3 linked regions of the Oryctolagus cuniculus genome follow. The main gene of each other region encodes a partner of the protein of the gene in region 3 in a complex. Links are inferred from orthologs where the notes say so. Each region holds a gene or a part of one and is shown on either strand. Other genes may lie near its edges.

The links. The genes of interacting proteins can lie anywhere in the genome.
Region 1: PHLDB2 (region 3) and PPFIBP1 share a complex: the UniProt entries of both Homo sapiens proteins name them as parts of the cortical microtubule stabilization complex. The link is inferred for Oryctolagus cuniculus from reciprocal best matches to the Homo sapiens genes PHLDB2 and PPFIBP1.
Region 2: PHLDB2 (region 3) and PPFIA1 share a complex: the UniProt entries of both Homo sapiens proteins name them as parts of the cortical microtubule stabilization complex. The link is inferred for Oryctolagus cuniculus from reciprocal best matches to the Homo sapiens genes PHLDB2 and PPFIA1.

What each region holds. Positions count from the first base shown.
Region 1 is NC_091440.1:124,821,247-124,824,746, reverse strand, and holds part of PPFIBP1 (liprin-beta-1), read right to left. Parts: intron 3,223-3,500; coding exon 3,072-3,222; intron 2,403-3,071; coding exon 2,291-2,402; intron 2,185-2,290; coding exon 2,096-2,184; intron 1-2,095. UniProt on the Homo sapiens protein: May regulate the disassembly of focal adhesions. Did not bind receptor-like tyrosine phosphatases type 2A.
Region 2 is NC_091432.1:2,321,229-2,324,728, forward strand, and holds part of PPFIA1 (liprin-alpha-1), read left to right. Parts: intron 1-818; coding exon 819-887; intron 888-1,621; coding exon 1,622-1,787; intron 1,788-3,500. UniProt on the Homo sapiens protein: May regulate the disassembly of focal adhesions. May localize receptor-like tyrosine phosphatases type 2A at specific sites on the plasma membrane, possibly regulating their interaction with the extracellular environment and their association with substrates.
Region 3 is NC_091435.1:67,777,535-67,781,832, reverse strand, and holds the start of PHLDB2 (pleckstrin homology-like domain family B member 2), read right to left. Parts: upstream 2,801-4,298; 5' UTR 2,664-2,800; intron 1-2,663. UniProt on the Homo sapiens protein: Seems to be involved in the assembly of the postsynaptic apparatus. May play a role in acetyl-choline receptor (AChR) aggregation in the postsynaptic membrane.

The DNA.
Region 1 (3,500 bases), on a different chromosome or scaffold from region 3:
ATCTAAGACTGAGACATCCGTTCCAAACATTGCATTGAAGGTTTTCATCTACTACTGTTTTTTTTTTTAAATCTGAGTGTATAATGATTATAATGCAAATAAAGTATTAACCTTTGGCAAAATGCTTATAATTTGAAAGAGTTTAAAAGGAGGGATTCCTTTATCATGCACTTAAGTCTAGAAAGATTTTGTTTAAATATTTTTAAAATGTTTGGATTTTTAAGAACTTTGTTTTAAAACAATTTGATATATAGAAAAGATGCCAAAGATGGTATAGTTGTAAGTATACCTTTCCCTTATCAAAACTAAGAAATTAATACGGATAATAATACAATCAACTAAACTACAGACTTCATTCCAGCTTCACCAGTTCTTCTGCTAGAGCCCTTTTTCCGTCCCAGGACTTAATCTGGGAGACCATATTAAAACAAATTTTTGATTTAGAATGTCTGGGGTCAAATTTCCCAAGCCAGTTTATTCTTTTTTTTGGGCCACACAAACTACCCATGTGCTTCCTGTGGTTTTAAGCCTGTTCCGCTGATATTCTGAGAGGAACACACTCACACCTAGATAGGCAGGCAAATATTTGCTGAATTTGTTCCACATGGAACAGTGAGCTATTATGAGCAGGGATCTGAACAGAGCTTGGATTTAAACCCCTATGGCTTACTACCACTTTCTAACTGTGGAAACGCAGTTTACCTAATCTATCAACTCCTTTGTTTCCTGGTCTAAAAGTGCGGACAATAATAGAACTAACCAAAAAGGGTAAGAATTGAGTATGAACATGAGTAAAATGCTCAGAAGTCCATCTGGCACGCTATGACATGCAATATACAACACCTAATGGCATCACCACACACACGGGGGGTACGATGGGCCCAAAGAGAAGGACTCTGGTTCAATGACAAGAGAAAGAAACAAATCTCAGGAGCTGAACTCCAAATGTCTCTCTCCTTCTGTAAAGTTCATGCCCATTTATTTATGAGAGAGAAAGAGAGACAGACAGATAGAGAGACAGAGTTCCCATCTGCTGGTTCACTCTTCAAATGCCCTCAGCAGCTTTGGGGCTGGGGTTAGGAGCCAGGAACTCCATCCAGGTCTCCTAAGTGGGTGGCAGGAACCCAATTACTTGAACCATTATTGCTGCCTTCCAGGGTCTGAATTTGCAGGAAGCTGGAATCAGGAACTGCAGCTGGGACTAGAATCCAGGCACTCTAATATGAGACAAGGGGATATAAACTGTTAGATCAAATCCTTGCAACCCTAACTTTGTTCGATATTGAGAAATGCATACTTAAGCTAGATGGTTGAAACTTTCTACATATTTCAAGAGGACTGTGATGGTTTGGCACAAAGCCAAGCTCAAAAGGGGCTATTTAAACAAAGAGATCTTAAGAACATCAGTAGTGCCATGGAATCTAGAACAAGGTTTCCAGGGATTCATCCCTCCCACTGCTGTTAAATAGGGAAGAGTCTTCCCACTCACTGGCTGCAAGGCTAGAAAATGCACACGAATGAGAGAACGAAGGAACCAGAGTGGAACTCTAGCTTCCCTCTTCCTTTACCCCAGTCCCAGCGGCTATAGCAGAACTGGGCTGCCAGGAGGAGGGTGAGACTTTTCAGTAACAGCGGTCCAACACGGCAGGGAAAGGCGAAAGGATGTCAGGTACGAAGGGGAACTCTTCCGAGCAGTCAGTGCATAGGACGATGCAGAACCCGCGAGCTGCCAAAGCTTTAAAACTCAGCCTTCTATTTTTAAAATATCTTTATGAGAAATAATTCACACCATAAAATTCACCCACGGCACACACTTCCACGTTTACACTGCTGAATATGTAAGAAATCAACTTTCTGGACAGCTCAGGGTACATTAGCCTACACAGGGATTTCATGGCATCCTAAGGCTGTTGCAAACACCAAATCCTGCAACGTCAACCTCACGGGAAATACTCCTGCCCACTCCTCAAGGTAAAGCGACACCTTCAAATTCTGTTGGAGTCATTCTGGAAACACAGTATGTCCCTGACTGCATTTCTGTGCTTTCGGACAGAAAACAACTTTCCTCCCCTAAAGCCCAGAGTGAATCACTTACAACGGTCATGTAATGCAGCATCCGACCATCAACCAGTCCTTCATCAAACTGGGTCTTATACTGGGGGAGGCCGATATCATCCAGCCATCCTGAAAGGGAGTAACAGTGTCGTTACGGGGCCCAGGAACACCCATTCCTGTGAGCACCCCGAGAAGGCAGCAATGCTGATTTTTTTAAACAACGAAACCCTCTTACTAGTGACCCAGTTGAAATCCAGCTTCCCGTGGTTGGTTTCTTCCTCTGATCCCAGGGCTTGCAGTGCCAGCTGCAGCTTCTTTCGATGAAGTGAATGCTTGATCCCAAGTTCCTGCGACGAGAAACAGCAGCCCTGACTTTATAACTCTATCCACAAGGGCTGGGCGCCACTGCCCAGGGATGCAGACTCCTAGCATCAAAGACCCAATTCCAAACGCAAGGACAATACTAACTGGGACAAATCAAATGTTGCTGAACAAAAGACCCCCTAGGAAGCCAAGACCGCTGTAATTAGTGCAATGGGCTGCGAAGACATTCCTCAGTGACTCATTTTCTTTGCAAGACAGAAACTGCAGCTTGCCTAAGAGCAATTTTACTCTTTTTTGTGCAAAATGCTACTTGATTGGGAAGAAATGTCCAACACTCGGACGTAAAATGCAGGGCACTATTTTTCTCCTTTGCAATGTGAAGTAGAATTCCACAATGAGAAGATAAAGTCACAAAGCGAGTTTCAGAGATCAGAGTTTAAGGTTATTACAGCTATAGCATTATTTTTCATGTAAACATTTAGCCATTTCTAAGCATCCCATGAGGACGCATCAAGACCAGCTTCTTCCTCTAAGTTCAGGAGATAAGATGAGAAAGCAGCAGCCGGGAACCCACACTTTTGCAAGAGTATGTACTGGCTCCACCCACACCACTTTCTGGAACGGAAGACAACCCCACCTTCCACGTGCTTTCTCTTAGGGTCCGATCGTAAACCAAACAGGGAAGCAATCACCTTTTCTAGATCTTGCTGAGAAGCTTGCAAAAGTGTTTGGCCAGATGCAATCCAGTGCTTGCCGGAACTCAGGTAGGAGCCCAAGCCCTGTTCCACAAGCCAGTTGCAAACTTGCTCCTTGGTCCACTTGGCAAATGGCATATCCAAGTCACTACAGGAAAATGAACAGCCGCATGAAAAGCAACTCGAGGCCAATCCATGGCTTATCACCAGTTTCGACCAAGTGTGCATTCAGTAGGTACGGACACTCCCTGGAGGTACTGCTTGTTTGTTAGTGTCTAGTTGAAGGCAGAAGTCACACTGGAGTTGAAAATTACTCTAAGACCACTCGCTTTCTATCTAATGATACCACAGAAGATTCAACGTCCTTCCAAAAGAACGTGTTTTACGGAAAACCATGGAACTGAACCAACATAAGCCCCTGTACCC
Region 2 (3,500 bases), on a different chromosome or scaffold from region 3:
GCTGCAGGCAGCGGCTTCACCTGCTGTGCCACCATGTCGGCCCCCTTGCCCTGCTTTTCCCGGGTGCATTAGCAGGGAGTGGATGTGAAGTGGAGCAGCTGGGACTCGAACCTGCGAGGACTGCTGGTGGTGCAGCTGCACTTAACCCATTGCTCCACAGCTGTGCCCTGGAACCCTGCAGTAGACAACATCAGGAGAACCTTCCCTTCCGGTCCAGGCGCTTGTCAGCGTGGAATCTTTAGTTCTTAGGTGAAAGAAAGTATTTCCAGGTGTGCCACATGGAGATTCTGTTAACTGTGCTCTGGGAGTAAGGGACTGTGTAACTCTCTTTGACTTAGGGGCCCATTTGAAAACCGGGACACTTTAAAGCCTGATTTAAAATACTGTTATGTAGTGGGTAAAGCGGGTAAAGTGCCAGCATCCCATTTGGGCGTCGGTTCGAGTCTCGGCTGTTCCACTTCTATCCCGCCTCTGCTGTGGTCTGGGAAAGCAGTAGAAGATGGTCCAGGTCCTTGGGCCTCTGCACCCATGTGGGAGCCCCGGAAGACACTCCTGGCTCCTGGCTTCAGATTGGCGCCGCCCCAGCCGGTGTGGCCAGTTGGGGAGTGAACCAGCGGATGGAAGACACCCTCCCCCAACCTTTCCTTCTCTCTCTGTGTAACTCTGACTTTCAAATAAATAAATGTTGGAAAAAAAGTACTATTATGGGCAGTGAATAAGCTTTTTAAGTGTCGTGGTTTAAAAGGCAGTTGTGGTGTGCTGACATCAGTCGGGTTGGAGTGATGTAAGTTTTGCTGGTGGTTGCTCTGTGATTTCAGGCCCGAGCTGTCTTGGAAAGAGAATTTAACAACCTTCTGGTCATGGGGACTGACCGGCGGTTTGATGAAGTAAGTTTCTGGTCTGATGTTTTTGAAATTTGTGTAAGATGTAACTTCCTTTATTACTCTCAGGGCAGCCACATAGCAAGGCCGTCTCTTCTCAAACTGGAGATAAATTTACTTGAGTTTAGCTTCGCTCTCCCAAATTCACAGCAAAAGAACCATTAAGAAACCAACATTTTCATGACACAGTTTTCTCTTCATTTTTGCCGTTAAATGTTCACACCTCTTTAGACTGATCCTCAGAGTGGAAACACTGGCTGCAGTCTGGGGCTGGGGCCTGGGTGTTGTGTTTCGGGGCAGCTGGGGTCCTGTGTCCCGGGCTCAGGGCTGCTGTGTCCCGGAACAACGTGAGTTTCTTCCTGTTTCACCCACTTATTCCCATTCTTCCTCGGCACTCAGTGAGGCTCCGGTTTGCCAAGGAGAATATAGAACCCATGTCTGCAGAGAAAGCTGGCATCACACAGACTTGTTTATGTTTTGACAACTCTTAGGACAAGCACAGCGCTCTGTCAGGAACGTGCTCTCTGTGCGGCGAGACAGGAAACGTGGCGACAAGTTAGCAGAGTGCTCGGGAGGATCCTGGGGCCGGCCCAGTCAGGAGCATGACCCTGCCCTTGACCCTGAAGTCTACCTGGTCATGCGGAAGGGGGTGCAGGCACAGAGAAAGCACAGGTTCCTGAGTCAGCACTGTCTGTCCTTCCTTTTTATATGCATTTCACTTCCTGTTCTTTCATCTCCAGGACGATGACAAGAGCTTTAGGAGAGCGCCTTCCTGGAGGAAAAAGTTTAGACCAAAGGACATTCGCGGCCTGGCTGCTGGGTCAGCAGAGACGCTGCCTGCAAACTTCCGTGTGACTTCCTCCATGTCTTCACCCTCTGTGCAGCCCAAGAAGATGCAGATGGACGGTACGTGGGGCCTCGCTCTGCGCCTCTGGGCGGGAGCTTGCGCGGTCTTGTGTCTGGGACATGAGTGGTCCGCAGCCGCCTGCGTCTGGGAGGGTGGTGCATGCTCTGATGTAACTGCCGCCAAGTTCTTGCTAACGTTTGCTATGCAGAGGTAGCGATGAGGCCCTCAGGCCACTCCCGTCTGTTGGGTCAGCGTGAGGAGCTCAGGTCCTCAGGTGTGCACCGGGCAGCACCGGCGGCTCCCTCGTGCCGTGGCAACGTGGCAGCCTCACACTACGTGACTTACATGGTTCATACCCAGGGCTTCTCTCCACCCTAATTTATTTGTTCATTTGAAAGACAGAGTTACGGGGAGGGGAGACAGAGTGGGAGAGAGAGAGCGAGCTTCCATCCACTTGTTCACTCCCCAAATGACCGCAACAGCCAGAGCTGGGCCTGACCAGAGCCAGGAGCTTTTCCAAGTCTCCAATGCGGGTGCAGGGGCACAAGCACTTGGGCCATTTTCTACTGCCTTCCCAGGTGCAGCAGGACTCGAACCAATGCCCATGTGGAATGCCAGTGCTGCAGGTGGCGACCTAACCCACTACACCACAGCGCCGGCCTGACTGCGTACATTTTAAATAGCACACAACTTCCTGCTTTAAAAGAAATTTGCTGGCTTATTTGAAGCAGAGGGGCAGTTCCCGCTTCTGTGAGGAGGTTTTCTGCTGTTCCGTGGCGTGCACGAGGGCAGGGAGGCAGAGGGTGAGCCTCGGGAAGTTGGCGGTGGCTCCAGCGGGCCCGAGAGCACCCCCAGGGCACTTGGCCCAGCACAGGCGAGAGCTGACAGTTGCTCTGCCTTGGCTCCATGACTGAGAGCCCGCCTGCCAGGGCTTGCGGCGGGCTCTGCCTCCAGTGGTGCGTGGCCTCGAGTGAGCCGTGGACAGTGCCTTCACAGGAGCGTCTTCCTCTCAGGGTGTCTGAGTATTAAATGAGCCGTCCAGGAACTGGCCCTCTGTCGGCTCTCACAGGCCCTTGAGGGAGCCCCGCTGTCCGGGGGGCAGCGCCCCTCCCGCTGGAAAGCTGTGCCCATGGGGTTTTAGAGTTTTTTCTGTCGTCAGCCCCTCCCTGAAGTAGGTTTGTAAATTTCACTCTCACTAGCCTGTGTAGGAATCCGAGAAATGTACATTTATATAAAGTCTTATTAAGCTGAGCACTTTTAAGTGAGGGTGGCTTACTTTTTAATAAAAAGGGTTTGTGTGCTTTGTTTTGCCCAGTTGGATACTATACTTGGGAGAGGGGGAATTACTTAGTGTCTTTTAATTAGCAACTTTTTAGAAAGTAGCATTTTCCCTCCAATGGGACCTGCGCGTAATTCTTATAAATCTGAACTCTGACTTGGCCTCTAACTTTGTCTCTGTGGACTCACTGAGTTTTCTGAATGGAGTTATTTTCCCTGTGGCTTCGATTTGTTTTCTTCATAAACTACATCTCCCCGTTAGACATTGCAGCAGCCGGCGCCGCGGCTCACTAGGCTAATCCTTCGCCTGCAGCGCCGGCACACCGGGTTCTAGTCCCGGTTGGGGCGCCGGATTCTGTCCTGGTTGCCCCTCTTCCTGTCCAGCTCTCTGCTGTGTCCAGGGAGTGCAGTGGAGGATGGCCCAGGTGCTTGGGCCCTGCACCCCATGGGAGACCAGGAGGAAGCACCTGGCTGCTGGCTTTGGATCGGCGCAG
Region 3 (4,298 bases):
TGATGCAGTCCCTCTTTGCAATGCCTCACACTCTTGAAGTATGCATGAGGCAAGTCCATAAAAAAAAGGAAAGCCCTCATGCAAGGGTGTTTAGCCAACCACCCGTCACAGTGGTGTTTCTTAATCTTGATTATGTAAAGGCTTGGGCATTGTGTCTGTTTGGAAGTTCTGCCAGACAATCCATGGACATTTTAGGATGCATTTGAAAGAAGTGAACCTGGGAGGAAGAGGGGGAGGAAGACTTGCTGCTGTAGTTTACTCATTTACAGCTTAAATGACATCATCAAGCTATTTGGATTCCAAGCCAACCTGGGTCTCTTTGAATTGCAATAGCTGGGAGCCTTGAAATGATGGACTGCTGATGGTTCCTCTTGCTTTAAGCCTCCTTTCGCCCAACTGGGATATGGATGAGTGGACATCTAATAATGAAATTCTTGAGTTCTCAGGGGAGGGTAGGGATGGAGTCCATTCTTTCTCTGGATCCGGTTCAGGTGCGGTATTTTAGTTGGGGCTCATGAATTTGAGTCTAGAGAAAACACAGGGCCCAGGATCTAGCTTGAGAATTCACTAGGTTTACTGGGAAATATCCAGGACTGACACGAGTCCAGAGATAGTCACCATTACAAACACGTCCCTTTACTTCCTGCCAGTTTGTGCTTTTAAGTCCCCTAGAATCAGGTCCACTCCAGTCAAACGGTGGTCTTTTGGTGACAGTGGCACTCACCTGGCCTTAGGCCTGGCACATCCAGAGGCCAGTGGAGAACTTCTAACTCTATTAGTGAGACTTCCTTATCCCGTTGACCTTTAGCGTCTCCATGTGTTCAACTCCATTGCCTCATGAAGCAATGGGTTGGCAACAAGGCAGAAATGAATAGAACCAGGGGTCAGCCTTGGAGTAACTGCATGAATCGGGGCAAATTAATTAATGTCTGTGTTCTAACTTTCCAGCATTTAAAGAGAATAACAATGCCCATTTAATCAAGTCCATCTCAGGGATAGTCTCTTCCTATCTAATTTACAATGTATACGAAATGGGAAGAAGAGCTGGATAGAACCGCAGGGTTTTCCTTTGTGGTTTTGGCTTTGAGCCAGGCTGCACAGGAAGGAGAGTGCAGTTGTGTGTGCGAGTCCCTAAGGCAGCCTAAAGCATAGTAAGTAAATTTGGCCTATGTCTTGAATGCCCCAAGGCTCTGTGCTCCCTTCAAAACCACCTCCAGCACTTGCATGATGTACAGCATATTCCAGTTTCCAGCCAGACACACAGTTAATATTCTGCAGGACTTAATATCTGCACAGCATTTCGTAATTGTCCATAACATTCCTGCAAGGTTGCCACAGACTTGTCCCAAATCACACAAGTTGCAATGTGTCTGCAGTGACCTCAGCTCCTGCATCTGGTTAACTACCTCAGCCACTAAAAATTCCAGCTAGAGACCTTACCTGAAGGGATTCACTTAAGTTCCATAAATGATTGACAACAATCAAACATGACCTTGTCTAATATGTGATTCAATCCCTTACCCCAAGGGACTTCAGGAAAAAAGGGCCTCCCTATCACTAACAACTATAAGATCCAAGAGCTATAGCACACGCTTGGCAGGTATACATGATGACAATATGACAATGTTTCTGCAATTAAAGAAGTTACCTTCAGACCTAAAGAAGAGGAGGCCATGTTTGGTTCAAATAACATATTTACAAAATGTGTAGGCCTGAAGAGAAAGACTTCACTTTTTTGATAATTACTCCATAGCCTTATTCTCCATCAGAATCCCTTAATAACTTGATCCTTAGTTAGACCACTTTCTTCCATATAGACCTCCACTGACAGGCAAAGTGCTCTCTAAAGCCACAATGTTTTATCCTAGTGATATGAAGTCTCAGGTTTGTGCATGAGTCTTGCTGAACTGGGAGGGACCTTGTGGGGTTTACTCCTCGGGTTAGGATACAAACTAACTTGATCAGAGGAGAATATGGGGTAAAGCCTCAGAGAATGTTGCTTTGATGTTGCCATGTGTATTCTGTGGAGGGGATCAGCTGGTGGTCTTCTGTCAAAGGTAGGAAAGAGCCCTGCCCCGGTAAATGATTGACCTGGCTGCCTGGTCTGATAAGCCTGGGTAAATAGGCTTGATTCTGCTCCAGTAATTTCAGGACTTTTAACTCCTTTGGTACCAAAGCAAGCAGGCCAATGGCTCCCTGGGAAATCCCATTATTTGAGATTGACAGCGCCTGAATAGACAGCGTGTTTCTCAGACTTGTCTGTACACTGTCCTCTCTGCTATATCTTGAAAGCAAGAAGAACTCATGCAAGCAAAATTCTAGAATGAAGACATGTTTATAAAGCTACCCAAAGTGGAAAAATTCCAATAAGCCACATGTATGCTTTCAAACCATGAAAGAGAATAAACCTACAGAATTTTCAAAATACATAGAAGAGCAACAACAGCAATTTTTAGAGGAGCAAGAACGAGGAAGGAAAATTCAACCTAGTTTCCAGAATTCGCTGATGGTCAGATGATTGAATTCTGTGAACACCCGCCCCAACTCCCATCTACCACATCTCCTGAAGGAGACGGCCGGCAGAGACACTGTAGTTACAGGGCTAGCTAAGGAGCTTGTTTGCAATCTGGAGAGAAGGTCCAGTGGCCAGCCTGATCCCTTACCTTGATTGCTGCTTTGTATTTCAGATTCTTCCTTCTTTCCTTCCTGATTCAACAGGGATGGTCCACAGTTCTCCCAATCCTCTCTGAAGAGTTTCGGATGTGGGGAGGAAGCAACCACACAGGCTCCAGCTTTTCCCCAAGCATGAAAATGAGCTGTTCCCTTCTATCTCTTTCCTGCTCTCTGGCCGCTGCAGCCAGTGGTCACAGGCAGCAACTTGTTCGCAGCCAGGTATGTTGACAGATGTGAAGGAGGGAGTGTGCGCTGGTCTCAGCTGCCTGGTGCAGCCAATCATTGCACACCAGGCCAGGCTTTTTGCCCTGATCAAATCTCAGCAGACAAATCAGATACCAGGGCTGTAGAGGGCAAAGGGCAGAGCCTGATAACTGTTGATTATCCAAAAAGTGATTACCTTGTGATTGGCTCCATCAAGATGGTAAGAGGTCCTGCTAATAACATGGAGGAAAATGTTACTCCCATTTTCAGCTCGGAAGGGAGTTTGGAGGTCACTTGATCAACTCTCTCCTTTGGTAGTAGGGTCTCTTCCACTGAGTTCTTTGCTGCTGAGACTCCTCATCTGGCAGTTCTTTGAATTAATAGGGCTGCATTTCCTGGGTGTACTGTGTGTTACACATTTCATATCCATGAATGAAAATCCTTGTGACAACTTTGGGATTGCATTTCTATTTTATGAATGAAGGAACAAAGTCTCAACGAAGGTAATGATCATGTACCTTGTGGGTGCTGAAGTCAGATTTTGAACTCAGATCTCTGAAACCAGTGCATCGGTAAACACTTCCTGATATATTCTGTGGTAGGTTGACTAACAGGCCCAAAGAATGTCCACCTCTCAGTCTTCAGACCCTGTGGATATATTACATTATGTGGTGAAAGGGACCTGGCTGGTCCCCATTCGAGTTAGGAGCCTTGAGACAGGAGACTATGTTGGATTATCCAGGCAGGCCCAGCATAAGCACAGAGTCCTCAGCAGACGTCAGAATCGGAGATGTGAGGATGGAAGCAGAGTCGCAGATGGAAGGTGCTGTGCTGCTGAAATGAAAGATGGAGGAAGGGGGCGTGACTCAAGAAGCTTCTAGAAGCTGGAAGGGCAGGGAAATGGATTCTCCTTTAGGGCCTCCACAAAGAAAATTACCTGATGACCCATTTTAGACTTCTGACTCCAGGCCCGTGCTGTTGTGAGCACGGTAAGCAACCGCATCTGTGGTGGTTTGGCACAGTAGTGGTAGGGGACTAATACACCCTCCCTCAGAAATCCTCGCCTGCCTAGGCAGTGTCTCACTGCGCAGCCATGCATTCTTGAAATGACAACTCATTGGTTCTAGCACACTGCCCCGCCCCCGCTCAGGAGGCAATGGAAAACCGAGGGAAATAGAAACAGTGCTGGGAAGGCTCTCAGAGCCAGGATTGTGGACCCAGCTCTGCCTTGAGCAGGCAGTTCTCTTTGGGTTTGCTCTCCTGTACCATTAGTCCTTCGCCCAGCTTTTCCTTGATCTCTGCCACATATAAAGGCACAACATTCTAAAATCTTAGTTGTGTAACAAGTTGAACATATTTGAAGACATTGCTATAAACTTTCTCTCCATTTTTCCTGTTCCAACCCACGCAGTGTCCCATGT